2 linked regions of the Astyanax mexicanus genome follow. The protein of the gene in region 2 interacts with the protein of the main gene of each other region in a pairwise test. Links are inferred from orthologs where the notes say so. Each region holds a gene or a part of one and is shown on either strand. Other genes may lie near its edges.

Region 1 (8,197 bases), on a different chromosome or scaffold from region 2:
TATTCAGTCAATACAAAATACGCTTGGTATCTAAAGATAGTTTCAATTTTATTTCGTTTTTTTATTTTATTGGAGATATAATGCTATGAGATATGATAGCATCTATTACTGTGTGAACTGCTCTCACAATATTCTGTTAAACTCTATTCAGTTGTAAAGTAATCCTAAACAGTTTTGATTCTGCTGATACTGTATTTTTGCCTTTATAAGTACCATAATTAAAGATCAAATCAGAGATAAAAAATAATTCCAAATCACCCCATAAAATGCTGCAGCATTTCTAACCTACTGTTACTTACTCTGGGATTTCTCCGAGTATGCCCTCTGTACATCCTTCAGAAGCTGCTCAGCAACCGCAGTCAAACACAAAGCCATTGTAGATCCTTCAGAGACATAAAGGATTATTATAGAATATGATCTTTTAGTCTTATTCTATAACTGTACACCAATCCAAGTTGAGCATATTTATTGTGTAAATGAATCAACTGAGAAAAGCAGCTTTTTCAAATGTAGCAGTAAACAGTTTTAAATGTTTTACTCAATTTGACACCTCGTTAATTGCCTACTGTAACTCTATTACTCAAGTTTTATGTGAATTGATGAAGAGAAAACCTTTTTTTATGTAAAATGATGTTAAGTCATTTGAAGTCTATTCTTTTGTCATTTCCATTCTTCTCAAATTCTGATGAAAAAAGAAAAATGACAAAAAAGGAAAAAAGGAATGCTGATAATACTCATAATGGTCTTTGTACAACATAATATTGCAATGTGGCCCACAAATAAATAAAATGTTGCTATAGTGACGTTAGAAATCATTGAATCATTGATGCAGTTATCACAATATTAGGTTTTGCAATGCTTCATTAATTCTCAAAACATAGCACTGGTATTTAATTCATACTTTACATGCATAGATTGATGGCAGACAGTGGGTAATTGTGTGCCATATTTAATCCCCAACCACTAGATTGCGGTGCTGTTATCTGTCTTCACATCCTACTGTACCAAATGAATAAAAGTAAGACTGTTTAAAACTTCAATATATTGCAAGTAATGATGTGTTTATATACCACAACATATTTATAACATTGATATTAAAAACTGTAATATACTTACAGCATTGTGACTCCTAACCCTGTATCAGGATGTGTATCATACTGCAAGGCCCTGGACTTTTTTTTGCTATGTTATTAGCTAGGAAAGGCAGCATGTCTGTGAGTAGCTAATGTTTATGCACTGCGAGCATAGGCGTAGGAATACTAGCAATATTAGAAACAGGTGGATTTGTCCCCCCAAAAAAATTATATCAGTTCGCTCAGGTCAGCTGTACTATTAATGAGGAGACAGACCGGACCGATCACGGAGCCGGTTCAGGTATTAAGTCACGCCTCTCAGTAGAAACAGCCAATCAGCTTGCTGGTTTTGCGGCGCGCGGAGCAGAGGCAGTTTGCTGTTGGGGAAGCCCCGCCCCCTCGCTGTGAGATTTAGCAGCGGGATCGGGACGCAGCAGCTTCAGCTGATTTTAAAACAGATATGGATATACGGAGATTTTTCTAAAAGAAAGGTAACGATAGGCTAACCACTTCAACTGTGATGATATGTTTCTGATAGCTGGTTAAAAATACACGTCTCTGAATCAGCACACAGTTTAAACCCACTGTGATTAATACACTGCAGCTGTGTTAGTGTGTAAGCTTATCTTTGGAATTAGCTAGATTGGGAGTCAGGGTTAAAGGAAAAAATAAAATATATATGTAATGTTTCCCTGTACCTGATCAGCTAATCACTTTAATTTTCAAACTGTTTATTCATTTAGGATTACAGGACTTACTGTGAGCTATAATGAACGAAAATTGATTTAACTAACTAGTTATCTAGAAGCTGGATGTAGATGATCGCCAGAATTTCGTACAGTACTTTAAGTTGGTAGTTTAAAGCAGTTACTTAACCCCGATCACTGCCCTAAACTAGTGTTTTCCACCTGATCAGCTAATAAACAGTCATTTACTGAGTTTACCTGTTAAAAACCTTTAGCCCCCTATGGAGCCTAAATTAATCATGTATATCCACCAGAGGAAGCTCTAGAATATGCAGAACAGTTTTAATATGCAGTAGAATATATAAGAACTGGGTTGAGAAACACTGCTGTAACGTGACTTCTGTTCATTTGTATTTCACAGTAAGACCACATATCCTGACGTTTATAAAAGCTTGGGTTCATATTGGCAAATGTGTCCCCCCCCCCCCATATCAAGCCCGCTCCTACGCCCTTGACTGCGAGTATTTTGGACAAACACACAATGCAATATTAGGATACTTCAATCAGGTCTGCCTGGCCAAAAAAAGTTTCCACCAAAAAAAATAAGTGACACACACTAATATTTAGTTAAACCGCCTTTAGCTTTGATTGCAGCACACATTCACTGTGCATTGTTTCAATAAGCTTCTGCAATCTTACAAGATTTATTTCAATCTAGTGTTGCATAAATTTTTCACCAAGATCTTGCAGCATTGATGATGGTAGAGTCTGACCACTGCACAAAGCCTTCTACAGCACATCCCAAAGATTATCAATAAGGTTAAGATCTGGACTCTATTGATCCATTGATTGAATAACCTGGTCTATATTCAGTATATTCAGGTAGTCAGCTGACCTCATTCTTTCAGCACATACTGCTGCTGAACCTAAACCTGACCAACTGCAGCATCAACCCCACATTTACTTACTTAAATCCACTTTTTGGCCAGGCAGTGCATATTTAGCTCTTTTCAACGGCCCACACACAGAGCAGCCAACCGGGAATTTGACTGCTGCAGCCGAACCATGCTATAATAACCAGATGTGAAATTAATAACTGAACTAATACACGGCATCTACTCTAAGTATATTTGTGAGACATTAAACAGCAGTGATTATACCATATACCATATACCATATACCAAATACCATGTAGTTAGAGATGAGATTAGGTCATTGAAGTAGAACTTATCCTATATTATTCGTACTCACATTTAAGTTAACTAACTACTTCTTTTTTAACAGTACTGTAGGAGTCTGCTGACACGACTTTTATCATTTTTGACAACTACTGTTACTTCGGTTAGAGTGTGTCAATATTTAGTAAGTGTTAACAGTGCTACTGCTGGGAGAAAAGCTGTTTGAACAGATAGTTTACGTTACTGTAATGAACAGTCTAATTTCAGTAATTAGGACTGCCTAATTACTGAAATTAGACTGTTCGTGACAGTAACGTTAACTAGCTGTTAGCTAACCGAAATATCAGCGACTACAGCTGTTTCTCCTGTAAATTACAGAAAGTATTTCAAAAATACATCCCACAGACCTCCTCTCAACTCCTCTCAACTCCACTCTCAGTAAACATCCCCCGACTCTCCTGTACAAAACACTGCACTGGTTACCCTTCGATTATCCCACGCCGGACACATCGCCGTCTCCAGGAAACGGAAATCACACGGAATTGTGGGCTTTGTAGTTTTTTACGCTGTTTTTTTACGCTGTATTTTTTTTCACTTCATTATATAAACTATAATAGGCCTTATTCCACACGCAGAACAGAAAGGTATAAATCTCCACTGCTCCACAGTCCAGCGCTTTCTCTGCAGTGATGGAGCGCCATCCAACATGAGCACTGAGCTGCAAAGCCAATTAGCCATCACCAGTATTTAAACCATACTGTTTAAATGTTTAGAATTTTTTTTTTAATGTAATCTTATGAAGAAGATAAGGAAGTAGACACCACTGTGATAACTATCTCTGTTTGCTAAGTAGATTTTACTCTATAATATTGCACACTTTTATATAATTTAAGTTTTTATTAATGCATGCAATGTACAATAAATCAAAGCGAGAGAAGAGAGAAAAGCAAAAGCACAGCTTAACGTTTATATCTAGTCTAATCATATTTTGAAGTATAAAAAATAAAGGTTTTATTTTATGAATTAAATATGAGTCAGTGGCTCCATCTAGTGGAGAAGTGCTATCTGTAGCTAAATACAGAGGCAATAAGAAGTGTGGCTATTTATTACAGGAGAGGAGGAAAAAACTAACTGGGTTGTAACTTTAATTATTTTAATTAGGTGTATCAAACATTATTTTAATTTAGTTTGTGGTTATTGCATTAGCTTTAATAATAAGGTAGACTATCATACTTAACTTATTTAGCTACGTCTATGTTTTTAGTTATTATTATACTCTACTTTTGTTCACTGTTTTTTGATATAGTTAAAGCAATAAACAGTTATTGACATCCTGAATTCTCAGTTTAGACTGACAGAGAGCGAGATGTTTTGCATTAGGAAAACTTTTCTTTATTTTGTACAAAACAGCAAACAACAGAAAAAACATGAAAAAAAATTTCCTGTATAAAACTCTTCAGAACAGCGTGCAGCCGCGCATGTTTCTTGGGGCTTTGTATAAGGCTTTATATAAACTGTACAGAAGCTCTGTGGAGAAGAACACACTGTTTAAAACCTGCACATGAACTCCACAGAGCTGAACTTTAGCTTTAGGGAAAAACCTCCATTGCACTTATGGTGGTGTTTGAGACTCGTGTGCAGTAGTGATTCAGTCACGCGCTTTTTCTCTCACTGTCTTTTCTCTGTGTTTTACGGAGCGCGGGTGTCCCGCCTGTGGGCGGCGCTGCGGCGCGGCTCTGTGTCGCTCCTGTTGGGGCAGTAGAGGCGGGTGTGCGCGGTGTCTCCGGTGGCTCCGCACAGCGGGCACATGTAGCTCCGCAGCACGGGGCACATCACCCTGCCGTCCCGCCTGCGCAGCCGGTGGCTCCGGTACACCTCGGTGCTCTCACCGTTCCGCCGGCAGAAGGCGCAGGAGCCCTCGCGGACACTAGGGGGCGTCTCGGTTCGGACCGGTGCATAAAACACTGTGAAGAAACGGAAAGAGCAGCTTTTTATTATGTATATAAACTGGATTTAGACTTAGACCTAGAACTTGTTTTGGCTAATCTGAAGAGTTATTTTAATTAGTTTTCATTCTCAGTTTATTATTTATTTTACTATACGTATGAAACAGTATAATAAAATACAGTAAAAATAGCTTTAGAAAAATAAAGCATTATTAAAAATAAATAAATAAAACAAAAGATACATTTTCAAACGTATGACTTATGATTAAATAATAAATATTTATTTCAGTGCATAAAACACTGAAGAAACGGAAAGAGTTGTTTTTTTTATTATGTTTATAAACTGAATTTAGACACAAAACTTTTTGGCTAATCTGAAGAGATATTTTATTTGTTTTATTATATATTTATATAAAACAGTATAATAAAATACTGTGAAAATAGGTTTAGAAAAATAAAACATTATACAAATGTAAAGAAATACATCAATTTTCAAACTCATAATTTATGATTAAATAATAAATATTTATTTTAGAGCATAAAACACTATGAAGAAACGGAAAGAGCAGATTTTTATTATGTATATAAACTGAATTTAGATCTACACAACTTGTTTTGGCTAATCTGAAAAGTTTTTTATTCAGTTTAGATTCTTTAGAATTTGTTATTTGTTTTATTATATATTTATACAAAACAATATAATAAAATACTGTAAAATAGCTTTAGAAAAATGAAGCATTACAAAAACGTAAAAAAATAGATACATTTTTAAACGTAGGACTAAATAATACATATTTAAAAGCATTGTTACTTTTGTTCATTTTATTTCATACATCAGTTGTTAAGTTATTAGGTTTTTTATATTTATTTATTACTTACATTCTTCTCCACTCTCCGCTCCTCCGCTGCTCTGAGACAGCGCCTCTCCCTGGTCCTGCTGGCCCCCGGCTTCTCGCTCTGTCCCGGGCAGTAAGATGGAAGTGGTCGGGGATATGGGAGTGGGGGGCTGGGGTCCCACATCCTCGAGCCTGGACTGCTGGAGCACGCGCTCCAGGGTGTCCCTCAGATTTAGGTAGTCCCGCCATATGAAGAAGCGGCTGGTGGGGGTGCTCAGGTCCTTCTGCATGGTGATGGATGTATGGATGAAGGGGGTCGTGTGGAGGAGTGTGTGTGTGTGTGTGTATGAATGATTGTGATGAGTTGTGGGGAGCAGAGGTGGGGTGGGCTTTTATAGGAGGCCTTAAGTGTTTAGGGGATGTTGATTGATGGCTCTGACCCCTCGTCCCCGGGGCTGCAGTCTCGAAACTTTCACTATAGGCGCGCGTGAAGAGGTCGCGTGTCTTAATTAGTCTGGGGTGGGGGGTTGTTTGAGCTGTGCTTCCACTTTAATGCATAGTGGTCTTTTAATAAAATGTCTCTGAACAGGTGTGTGAGAGTGAATAGATAAATGGGTGTGCATTTATTTGCAGAAAATGAGAAATGGCTGAAATAACAAAAAAGACCTCAAATAATGCAAAGAAAACAAGTTCATATTCATAAAGTTTTAAGAGTTCAGAAATCAATATTTGGTGGAATAACCCTGGTTTTTAATCACAGTTTTCATGCATCTTGGCATGTTCTCCTCCAGTCTTGCACACTGCTTTTATATAACTTTATGCCACTCCTGGTGCAAAAATTCAAGCAGTTCAGCTTGGTTTTTATGGCTTGTGATCATCCATTATCCTCATAATTATATTCCAGAGGTTTTCAATTTGGTAAAATAACAAAAAAAAAAAAAAAAAAAATCTTAATTTTTAAGTGGTCTCTTATTTATTCCAGAGCTGTATATTCTCATACTGTAAGCAAAGTGATATATTGCAGTTGTTTAAATCACTAGCATAGAGTAATTTTTTTTTACTTTTTATCAGAACAGTGGGATCTAATGAGAGTACAAAACTGCGATCTACACCGGGTTTTTAAAAATCGATACACTATTGCAAAGCGTGCAAAATATTGTGATACTTCCTTATATCAATATTTTCTAACACTCCTATGTGTTACTTTGTTTTTGCACACATTGCATTAAAAAGAACAAATAAACAACATAAATGAAATGTAACAAAACTGTGTTCTATGTAGAGGATGTAAACTTGTTATTCATAAATAAATAAAAACCCTGAACGTGAGCAGGGTAGGTGAGTATTGCAGGTGTAGGCGGTGTGTTGTTAACAGGTTGTGTGATACGTTTCAGTTCAGACAGACGGCGCGTGCCTGTGTGTGTGTGTGGCAGGGCGCCGCTAAGGACCTGACCTCTACAAGACCTCGTTCTGCACCTGTCTCTCTCTCCTCTCCCCCCCCCCCCAAACGCGTGTCTGTTTGCGTGTTATGTGTTTGATAATTAGGTTGAAATGTTATATTTGTATCTTTTGTATCTTCTGTTTAATGCTAAATATGACACGTGTATTGTATCTGTGTGTGTGTGTGTGTGTGTGTGTGTGTGTGTGTGTGTGTGTGTGTGTAAAATACAAATATTTGTTTATATTAATAAATGCTAATTAAGTCCAGCAGAAATGTTTATACGCTCCAGAAAAAATAAAAACAATAATTTTCCTGCATATTTGTATTTTGAACATAACAGGAGGGTTACACTGTTTAAAAGGTAAATTAAATTATACAATAAAGTAATCGTGTAATATTAATATGAATAGATTCATATCTGATATCACACACTCTGCTTTAGAGGTTAATGTCCTGATACTAATACTTTTTATGTATTACATCTTTAATATTAAATTTACAAAATTAAAATCATAAAAAGAAAAAAAATGAATGAGAAGAGGTGTGTCCAAACCTTTTATGGGCAATGAATATGTATACATTAATTTAAATTTATTTAAAAAATAAATAAATAAATAATTAGATGCACTCAATAATCTGAATATAATCACCTCTTTTACACCTATTTGACTGCTCCAGTGGTCAAGAAAACAGGATACTCTGATTTCTTAAATAGGTTCATTCAAGGCTGACAATCGGGTTTTCTACAGTTATTGGATTATTAGGTGCATATAAACAGACTCATCTTTTAACATCAACCTCATGAAAAGATCATAGATAATATCAATTATTTCAATTGATAATTGAAAAGAAACTAGGATCAATACCAGTCTGCCAATTTCTAGTGAATTTTGTGCACAGGAGCTGTGAAAAAGGGTACAAGTTAAATATACAGGTTTAAGGATACAGTAAATGGGAAGGCTTATGTAGCAGGATATGAGGAGGCCACGCCAAAACCTCATGCCAAGGATGATAAACTAGGAGTTAACATTGAGGAA
Region 2 (8,526 bases):
CTAATTTTGTGAGACACTGATTTTTGGCATTCCTTTGGCTTTAATCCATAATAATCATTAACAATACGATAAATAAACATCTAAAATACATCACTCTATGTGTAATACATCTATATATGAGTTTCACATTTTGACCTGAATTACTGAAATAAAATAACTTTTCAATGATATTCAACATTTTTGTCGTCAACTGTGCACCACGCAGCTTGATTTAGGGGTGCGTCAGTGTGTCTTTGCTATCGTAAAAAAGTACAACTTGCACGGCTTGAAGCATGTAAAAGGCATATACTAATTCTCATTAAGAGCCAGGTGTGTTTTGATTGCTATTTCAAGGGAGCAGCTACCTGAACATGTCCAATGCTTCCCAGTAGATGAAACTGACCTGTTAAATCATTGATTATTGTGTAATACTGGCACCAATGGAATGTTTTTAGCCAATCACATTGCAGGGTCAGAACTAACCATGGAATAATGCATGTTAATCATTTAATATAGAACTCATTTACATAAATCAACCCTTTATTTCTCAATCAGAGAGGAAAGGGAAAGGTTATGAACAAATCACCAAAATTTGATCTATATTGTAGTATGTATGATATACAGTATGATTTATCCACACCTGTCAGCTGAGTTTGGTTCACAGCTCTTCGGCTAGCCCTTGTGTTGATGCGCACACCTGTTGTGGGTGTCTCAGCAGCTCTGTTTTTCTCCGGCTCCTCTGTAGCTTCATCCTCCTCTTCCTCCTCCTCCTCCTCCTCTGATTCACTAGCACCTCCCGCAGGCCACGAGATGTGCTGTATGAAGGAATGCTCAGCTTCACACTGCCAGAGAACAGAGGTGGACAGACCCAGCGTCGGCTCCACAGCTCGCAGTTCAGGCTCATGAGGACAGGTCTGGCAGTGCTCCTGGTACCAGCTCACTAAACTGTGCAGGCTGGTGACGGCCACCTTCTTTCCTACACAAGGAAACGAATGACAGAGTCAAAAAGAGAGTCAGAAGCCCTTTCTGGATGGGATTAGTTTCTCAGGGGGTCCTGGGATAATTTTCTCTTTTACTTGGGAGTCCTCTGTGATTTTATTCCTGTCCAGAACGAACATGTGTTTTTCTCAGACGTCCTCTGAAAAAAAATTACAGGCTGAATTATCTACTGTTTTTCGCTGAACTCTTTCTTGATCCGCCGGTAATTTTAGTCCCGTCCGGATCCACATGTCTGATTTAGTTTCCTCACGTTTAATAAAACAGCTATTTGTCCACTGCCGTGCACCATATTTACACTTTGGGCACACATTTCCACGGAGATACACGTAAAACACAACAGCAAGTGGAAATGGAGGAGCTACTGAACAAGATTTCATGTGACCCAGAAAGCCAAAAAAAAAAAAAAAGAAAACTCTCTCTGGTCCTCCAGTTTTTTCAATTGCATTCCGGATGCAAGAGTTTTATCACTGAGTAAAACTGTAAACTGAATGTAACTGCTGCCAAACTAAGGGTGGAACGAAAAACTAAAAAATGCTATATGTGAGGGAGATATAAAATTACTGAAAATAAGAAGGACCTTGTTTAACTACTCTAGCAGGCTCTGGAAACACACAGAGCTTTACTAAATCTACTGGTTAAGCTGGAACTTCTCACAATACATTTCACTGTTTATCTAGTGTGCTGATTTTACTAAAGTTTGGATCAAATAAATGAGAAAGGCACCTAACAAAGAGAGTTTTCAAAGTCTAAAAGTCTAACGGTTTCGGTCTAACAGTCTCGCTTTGGACTAATACACAAAAAAATATAGTGACCATGCATTTGAGTTTACTCACCTTTCTTCTGATTTTTGCACAGCTCTGGAATGTTGTTCTTCCTGTCAATCAGAAGAGAGGACAGGATGTTATAAAACCTATAAAATATTCTGCTATAAACCATAATCGTAATATCGGATATCAGAATCGGCCCAGAATTCCAACATCAGTGCATCTCAAGCAAATCTACAACCAGTTGGAATCAGCAAACTACGGATCCTCTAAGGTGAGGATGTAAAGGTGAGGAGGTAATGTAAAAAAAAAATAATAATGCATGGCCACAGCTTATTAAAGCACAGGAACGAGATACTAATGCCTGCCCACTATTATTAAAGGGTGGGAACGAGATCCTAATGCATGGCCACGACTTGTTGTGAGAATGAGATCCCAATGCACGGCTACGACTTATCAAGGCACAGGAACTAGATGTGTGGCCTCGACTTATTAAAGCAAAGGAACAAGATACTGATGTGTAGCAACAACTTTTTAAAGCATGAAAACGAGATACTAGTGCTTTGCCACAACTTTTTAAAGCGTAAGAATAAATCCCAATATGTTTCCACAACTTATTACACAGTGGGAACGAGATCCCAAAGAGTGGCCACGACTTATTAAAGCGTGGGAATAAGATCCTAATGTGTGGCCATGAATTACTAAAGCATAGGGACAAGAAACTAATGTGTTGTGACAACTTATGAAAACAAAATGTGGGAATAAAATACCTACACATGGCCACCACTTATTACAAGCACAAGAACAAGATCCTTATGCATGGGAACAAGATATTATTGCATGGCCATGACTTATAAAAGGTATGGGAATAAGATTTTTGTATGTTTTACATGATGTCATCTTAGGGGCTGCGTAGCAAACCACCTGTATTAGTTAGCTAGTTAAACCTCTCAATCCACTTAAGAGGTTTTATAGCACTTAACCCGTATTTAATGTTAGTAAGGGCTGATTTAAAAATATATGATATAAAGCAGATAAGTAAATATAAATATGTGGTATAGGCAGGTACAAACAGGTATAAACAAGCATAACACAGATATAAGCAGATATAAGCAGGTACAAGCAGATATACCCAGGTATAAACAAGCATAACACAGGTATAAACAGATAATAAAGAGGTACTGGTGGCCGTGCGCTGCGTGTCTCCGCTGGTACCGCTCTCCGTAGGCGGAGTTCAGCAGGATCAGGTACTCGGCGAGTCCGGCGTCGCTCAGGCTGCTCCGCCGCCGCAGGTCGCTCCAGATCCGGTGCGACTCTCCGAGGTAAACCCGCCGAACGTCGTACTTCTTCCGCGACTCGAGGCGCCTCTGGGCTCGGTCCGAGTCCGACAGCCGTGGCCGACCCCTGCAGCGCCGCAGCATAGCTTTAATCTGCTCCCCGGAGCCGCTGGAGCTCCCGGAGCCCAGGCTGTCCGCCTTACCCCCACACTGAGTCGCCATCTTTACCCAGCTGCAGCTGTTGTGTTTCTTCTTAAAGGGATTTATGAGCCAAATCTGCGCATGCGCGCTCTAAACGTCACATACTAAACTATATTTTACCCGTATTTTATTATTTTAATATCCACATTATGGTACAGATATTAACCATACTTTATTATTAAAATATCCACATTATTACACAGATATTAACCATATTATTATTATTATTATTATTATTATTATTATTATTATTATTATTATTATTACATTATATCTTACAAAAACCTCACATATTAAACTGTACACATTATTATACAGATATTAACCATACGTTTTATTATAAAATCCACATTATTAAACAGATATTATTATTATTATAAGTAGTAGTAGTAGTAGTAGTAGTAGTTGTAGTAGTATACAGATATTAATCTTATTTTATTATTATTTTATTATTTGATTACATATATCTCGCAAATACCTCACATATAAAATTATCCACGTTATTACAAAGAATTAATTACAGATATTAATAAGATAATTAAATGATTAGTTGGATTGCTTAAATGCGAAAAAGATGCTCAAATAACAAATTATTGTTAGTTTGTTTTATTTAGGTTTATTATTATTATTTTTGTTGGACATACGAATTATTAACTTGAAACTTGAAAAAAACACCAGCAACATAAAACAAACAAACAAAAAAAGCAAGAAACAAGAGTTAAAAGCAAAATCAATAGTACAGACTAAAATTAAAACCAGAAAAATTAATAACTTATCAAATAAAGACTAATAATAATTAGATTTAAATTAATTAAATGGCAAAATGCACAGTGAAAAAAATGACTAAAGTAAGATGAATACAGAGCCCCTAAGATGACATAACATTTAAAAAATATATAAATTGGGGCCACATGCCTTACTAAGTCATGGCCACGCGTTATTATTATTATTATTATTTTTACATGACATTACCTTAGGGGCTCAGTAGATAAAAATAAAAATAAGTTCGAAAATTAAAGATAAATTAATGATTATACACTGATAAATGTTTTAGTACCACAGACATTATTTTTTAAGGATTTTAGCTGACATTAGCCACAATGCTAGTGTCTTTATCGCCTAAACCCGTTTACTGTAGAAAAATGAAAACAGACAGGTAACCTTTATTTGCGTTTTTATCAAAATATTTTTATCTACTTTGCTTAAATTAAAGGAATATTCTGGATAAATTGTCAATTAATATTTTTAATTTGTGTTTTTAGCCTCTTTGCTCTATTGACTCCCATTCATTAAGGGCTTACTAGCGGACTCTCCCTATCGGTTTACATTGGAAACAGGGGAAATACTGTGTAAAGTGGGTAGGCTCTCCCAGAGCCATATACAGGCGTATTTATTTGACAGACAGGTGGATTGTCCAATCAGAGCAGAAAAAAGCTTTTGCTGGAATATCAACTGGCCAATCGTAGATCAGAGTGAGAGGGGGTGGGCGTTGAGATGGGCGCGGGAAAAGCAAGTGATGTAGTTTTTAGTTAGCACTGAATGCTAAAAGTCAGTCAGTCAGTTTAGTTTATCTGTTATAGCTAGTTTTCTTGTTTAATTCACCAGACTCCAATCGCTGGAAACACGCTTTTAAAGAATTCAGAAGATGAAGATAGCTGTGTTTTATTGGTTGTGAGGATATTTAGAGCAGATATGGTGGATATTCTGGGGCTGGTGTTGAGGCAGTTCAGCTCCGGCAGTATCACCGGGGTGTGTACCCAGCCGGGTACCGGGCTGTGCGCCCCGGAGAGCGGCGCACTCGTGACTGGAGACCGAGGCTTTAGTAGGCCGCTACTGTTACTCTCAGCTCTGACTGCAGCTTCAGAATTAGCAGTTAAAGTGCTTTATTTCACTCCGAGTCAGATTCAGAGCCTTCCTATATCGTTTCAGGGTGCCAGGAGAGCTGAATGTCTTAAGGTAACACTAATTACTGTATAAAACACGTTTGGAAACACCTTAAATGTCAAGAGTTAATTAACCTACTTGAATTTCCTTCCCTTGAATTTAAGTAATGTCCTAATCCATATTATAGCAAGGACTACCCAGCTAAATACAGATGGGAAAAAACATACATCATCTAAAATGTTATAATGAACTGACCTTCACAAGGATTGCCCCAGAAAAGGAGGAGCATAATTTAGTTACCTCTGTTACACAGGATAAGTTCATCAGTGTCAGAAACCCCAAGTTAAAAAGCACCCCAGATAAGAGAGTATTTTGGTTTGTTTAACACTGTTAACTTACTACATTGTCTAGATGACTTCAAAAGACATTGAATGAGAAGGTGTGTCCAAAGTTTTGACTGGCACTGTTCAAGTGAAAACTCATATTATTAATAATTATTATTTACTGTAAATGTCCTGTTTTACACTGCAAGACCAATGCAGTACAGCCTATAATTTTAGAACACAAGTCACCCATCCCAAATTATCATATCATGGTACTACTTTTTTGCTGATTTTTGCAAAAGAAAAAATCACACTGTTCCCATTTCCACATATATATATTTACTAGATACAGATTATATCTGTCCAGTATAATTTATTTTACTTTAATCCTGGATATATAGAGATATTTGGAGTGTACTATTAGTATCATGACATTCTGGATCAATAACTGATAAAAATCTTGGATTTTTTTTAAATATCTCAGTTAGGGGTGTGCCATATTATATTGTATGCAATAATAAAACTAGATTTTATTTTTGTTGCAGTAGTGTATTTTAGAAATAATTTCTTTAATTCAGTGTTTTGTCATATCACCATATGACATGAAATATCGTGATATTTTTTTAGGGCCATACCTGTAATTTAAACCTTCTGAACTTCTGTAAAAGGGGTGAATTACAGCAGAATGTTGGGGCCAATATCCTGTTGTGTTTTGTTTATATTCAGTATTTAATGTAAAATAAAAAATATGTATGTTAATTTAATTTAATATTATTTATTTAAATAATAAATAAATTTATTATATTTTCTTTTTCTTTTTGCTATCTCTCTTTGTAGAAAATCAGGTTTGTATACCCCAAGACCCTGGAGGAGCTTCTGGAGGACGTGGCCTCTCTTCACGAGCTGGTGCCTCAGTCTGGATCTCTCCCTTCTCTGCTCATCGTGGACGGTTTAGAGCAGTATGTTTGTGGTCCAGCTGCACAGGACAGAACCCCACAGGAGGCTCAGAGTGCAGCGGCTCATGTGGTGGCTCTCCTGCACGACACGGCAGCTTTCCTCACCCAGAAACTGGGAGCCAGGGCGGAGAACCAGGACCAGAACCAGAACCAAACCCAGGACCAGGTCCAGAGCCAGTGCAGGGTCATCGTCTCCTTTCAGCCTGAATGGGAAGGACAGGGTGGGTGTCCTGCTTTAGTTTCAGACCCCATTCTTTCTGTTTTGGAGCGATACCTGCAGGTGAGATGCACTACAGAAAAGGTGAGGAGGGGGGAGGAGCCAAACGAGTGGCTGTTTTGTCTCACAGGGCCTGGACTGCAAGCTGATGGGGATGGAAAATCAGAGGAACGGCTTCAGTGGCGTGTAGTTCTGAAGTCTAATGGTACACTGGATTTCTGCCCAATCAGTCGTGTGAAAGAGGACACATTAGAAACCCTGCAAAACCCTGTGGAAGTAAAAGATGACTAGACTAAGGGTGGGACAAAATATCGATATGGTTTCTGCTTCAATACTCCACATGGTGGTGCTATAATCAAATGAATAGGGTAAATAGAAGAATATTGGTTATGAAATTCTTTAAAAACTGACACCAGTAAATCCATATTTTATCCTCTTCAGTAACACAGATGCTGAGATGTATCGTAGAGAATTGTTTTGTGATATATCGAGTGTCGCAGATTCACAGTATTGCGATATTATGCATTAGGGCGAGAGCCCTTGTGTTTATATACTATTTCTTAACGATACATTGTTGTTGTGGACACAGCTCTTTGAACCGTAAACAAAAAACCCAACTCACTTCTCGCTTTATGAATTGTTCACTCTTTATATTTGTGCTTGTTTGCATTACAGTCCAATAAAAAAATAAATACAGTCTGTTAAAAAACACAACTCCTTGCCAAATACAGGAAAGAAACTGCAGACAATATTTCAAATTTTAATAGAATAATGGATTACAGATTTACAAAGTATAAAAAGAAAATTACACAGAAAATATATGTTATATATGGTTTTAGCATTAAACAGACACATTTTATAGTTGACCCCAGGCACTTGCTTTTACATCCCCACTACAAAAGCGTTTAAACGGATGTTTGTAAAATTATTTAGTGTTTGCATCCTAGTGTTTCTTCATCTTAATTGGCATTAACATGCAAACTGTTCATGAAATATTTATTTTTACAGAGATTTTATGTTTGCCTACATTGAAGAATTTCATGCACAGAATTTCCATGGATGATATATTGTCCGAGTAATTATTACAATAAAAAATATTAATGTTATTTTAAATCAATTGTGATGATAAAACACCTTTTAAAACATGAACTGGAAGATTTATTATTATACTAAACATCATACTGGAATGAATTCATTTTAGCATGCTGTCCTTGCTAAGAAAAATGTATAACATTTATGTATAATATTGTGGGCAATATGTAAGCCGATCAGGTTATTATTGTGACAGGCCTGTTTCCTCCACTACAATTAATGAAACATATCAGTTCTAATCTTTATCCAAACCCACTTCAGCCACATCTTTGGGCTCAATAACTAGTTTGTGTATCTTTTTACTCACTGTAATTGTTATAATATATTAAGACCTGGACATGCACTGTTAAATCCCTTAATCACTGGTTTGATTTGAAGATCTGAAGCAAACAGCAACCAAACAAAACATGATAATAATAAAGAGGTGACAATGTTTTAACGTGAATAAGAGTTTCCACACTTAAAAACAAATATACTGATACCTTTAAGAATAAAGAGGAACATTTACATTTTTCTTTATATAAGAAAGTGGCTTCCTTTAATAAAAAATACTCAAATTTATTAAAACACATTAAAAGTTGATAAAATTGGCACACAAACCAACTGTTATTTTCTGATACAAAAAATATTTTTTATTTACAGAATATTAAAAAAAAGGAAAGAAGACGATTAAACTCTAAATGTTTTTGTCTTTTTTTTTTTTTGTAAAATTATATTTACACTGACATGCCAAATCTCATGGGATAGTCCCCTAAGCAAACACTTGATTGATATACATACTGCTATCCCAGGACTTTTGGCACAGTGGTGTATTATGTATTGTAGAAGAAAACT

The links.
Region 1: the proteins of swsap1 (region 2) and zswim7 interact in binary tests that used the Homo sapiens proteins (3 or more experiments, as listed by UniProt). The link is inferred for Astyanax mexicanus from reciprocal best matches to the Homo sapiens genes SWSAP1 and ZSWIM7.

The regions. Positions count from the first base shown.
Region 1 is NC_064408.1:30,315,559-30,323,755, reverse strand, and holds the start of zswim7 (zinc finger SWIM domain-containing protein 7), read right to left. Parts: upstream 3,487-8,197; 5' UTR 3,345-3,486; intron 386-3,344; exon of another isoform or gene 384-385; 5' UTR 376-383; coding exon 300-375; intron 1-299. Other genes in the region: nanos2 (nanos homolog 1), read right to left, coding at 4,627-4,901, 5,763-6,009. UniProt on the Homo sapiens protein: Involved in early stages of the homologous recombination repair (HRR) pathway of double-stranded DNA breaks arising during DNA replication or induced by DNA-damaging agents. Required for meiotic progression, hence for fertility.
Region 2 is NC_064426.1:39,072,918-39,081,443, reverse strand, and holds swsap1 (ATPase SWSAP1), read left to right. Parts: upstream 1-4,698; 5' UTR 4,699-4,912; coding exon 4,913-5,176; intron 5,177-6,264; coding exon 6,265-6,891; 3' UTR 6,892-7,296; downstream 7,297-8,526. Other genes in the region: znf653 (zinc finger protein 653), read right to left, coding at 620-955, 1,812-1,852, 2,925-3,241. UniProt on the Homo sapiens protein: ATPase which is preferentially stimulated by single-stranded DNA and is involved in homologous recombination repair (HRR). Has a DNA-binding activity which is independent of its ATPase activity.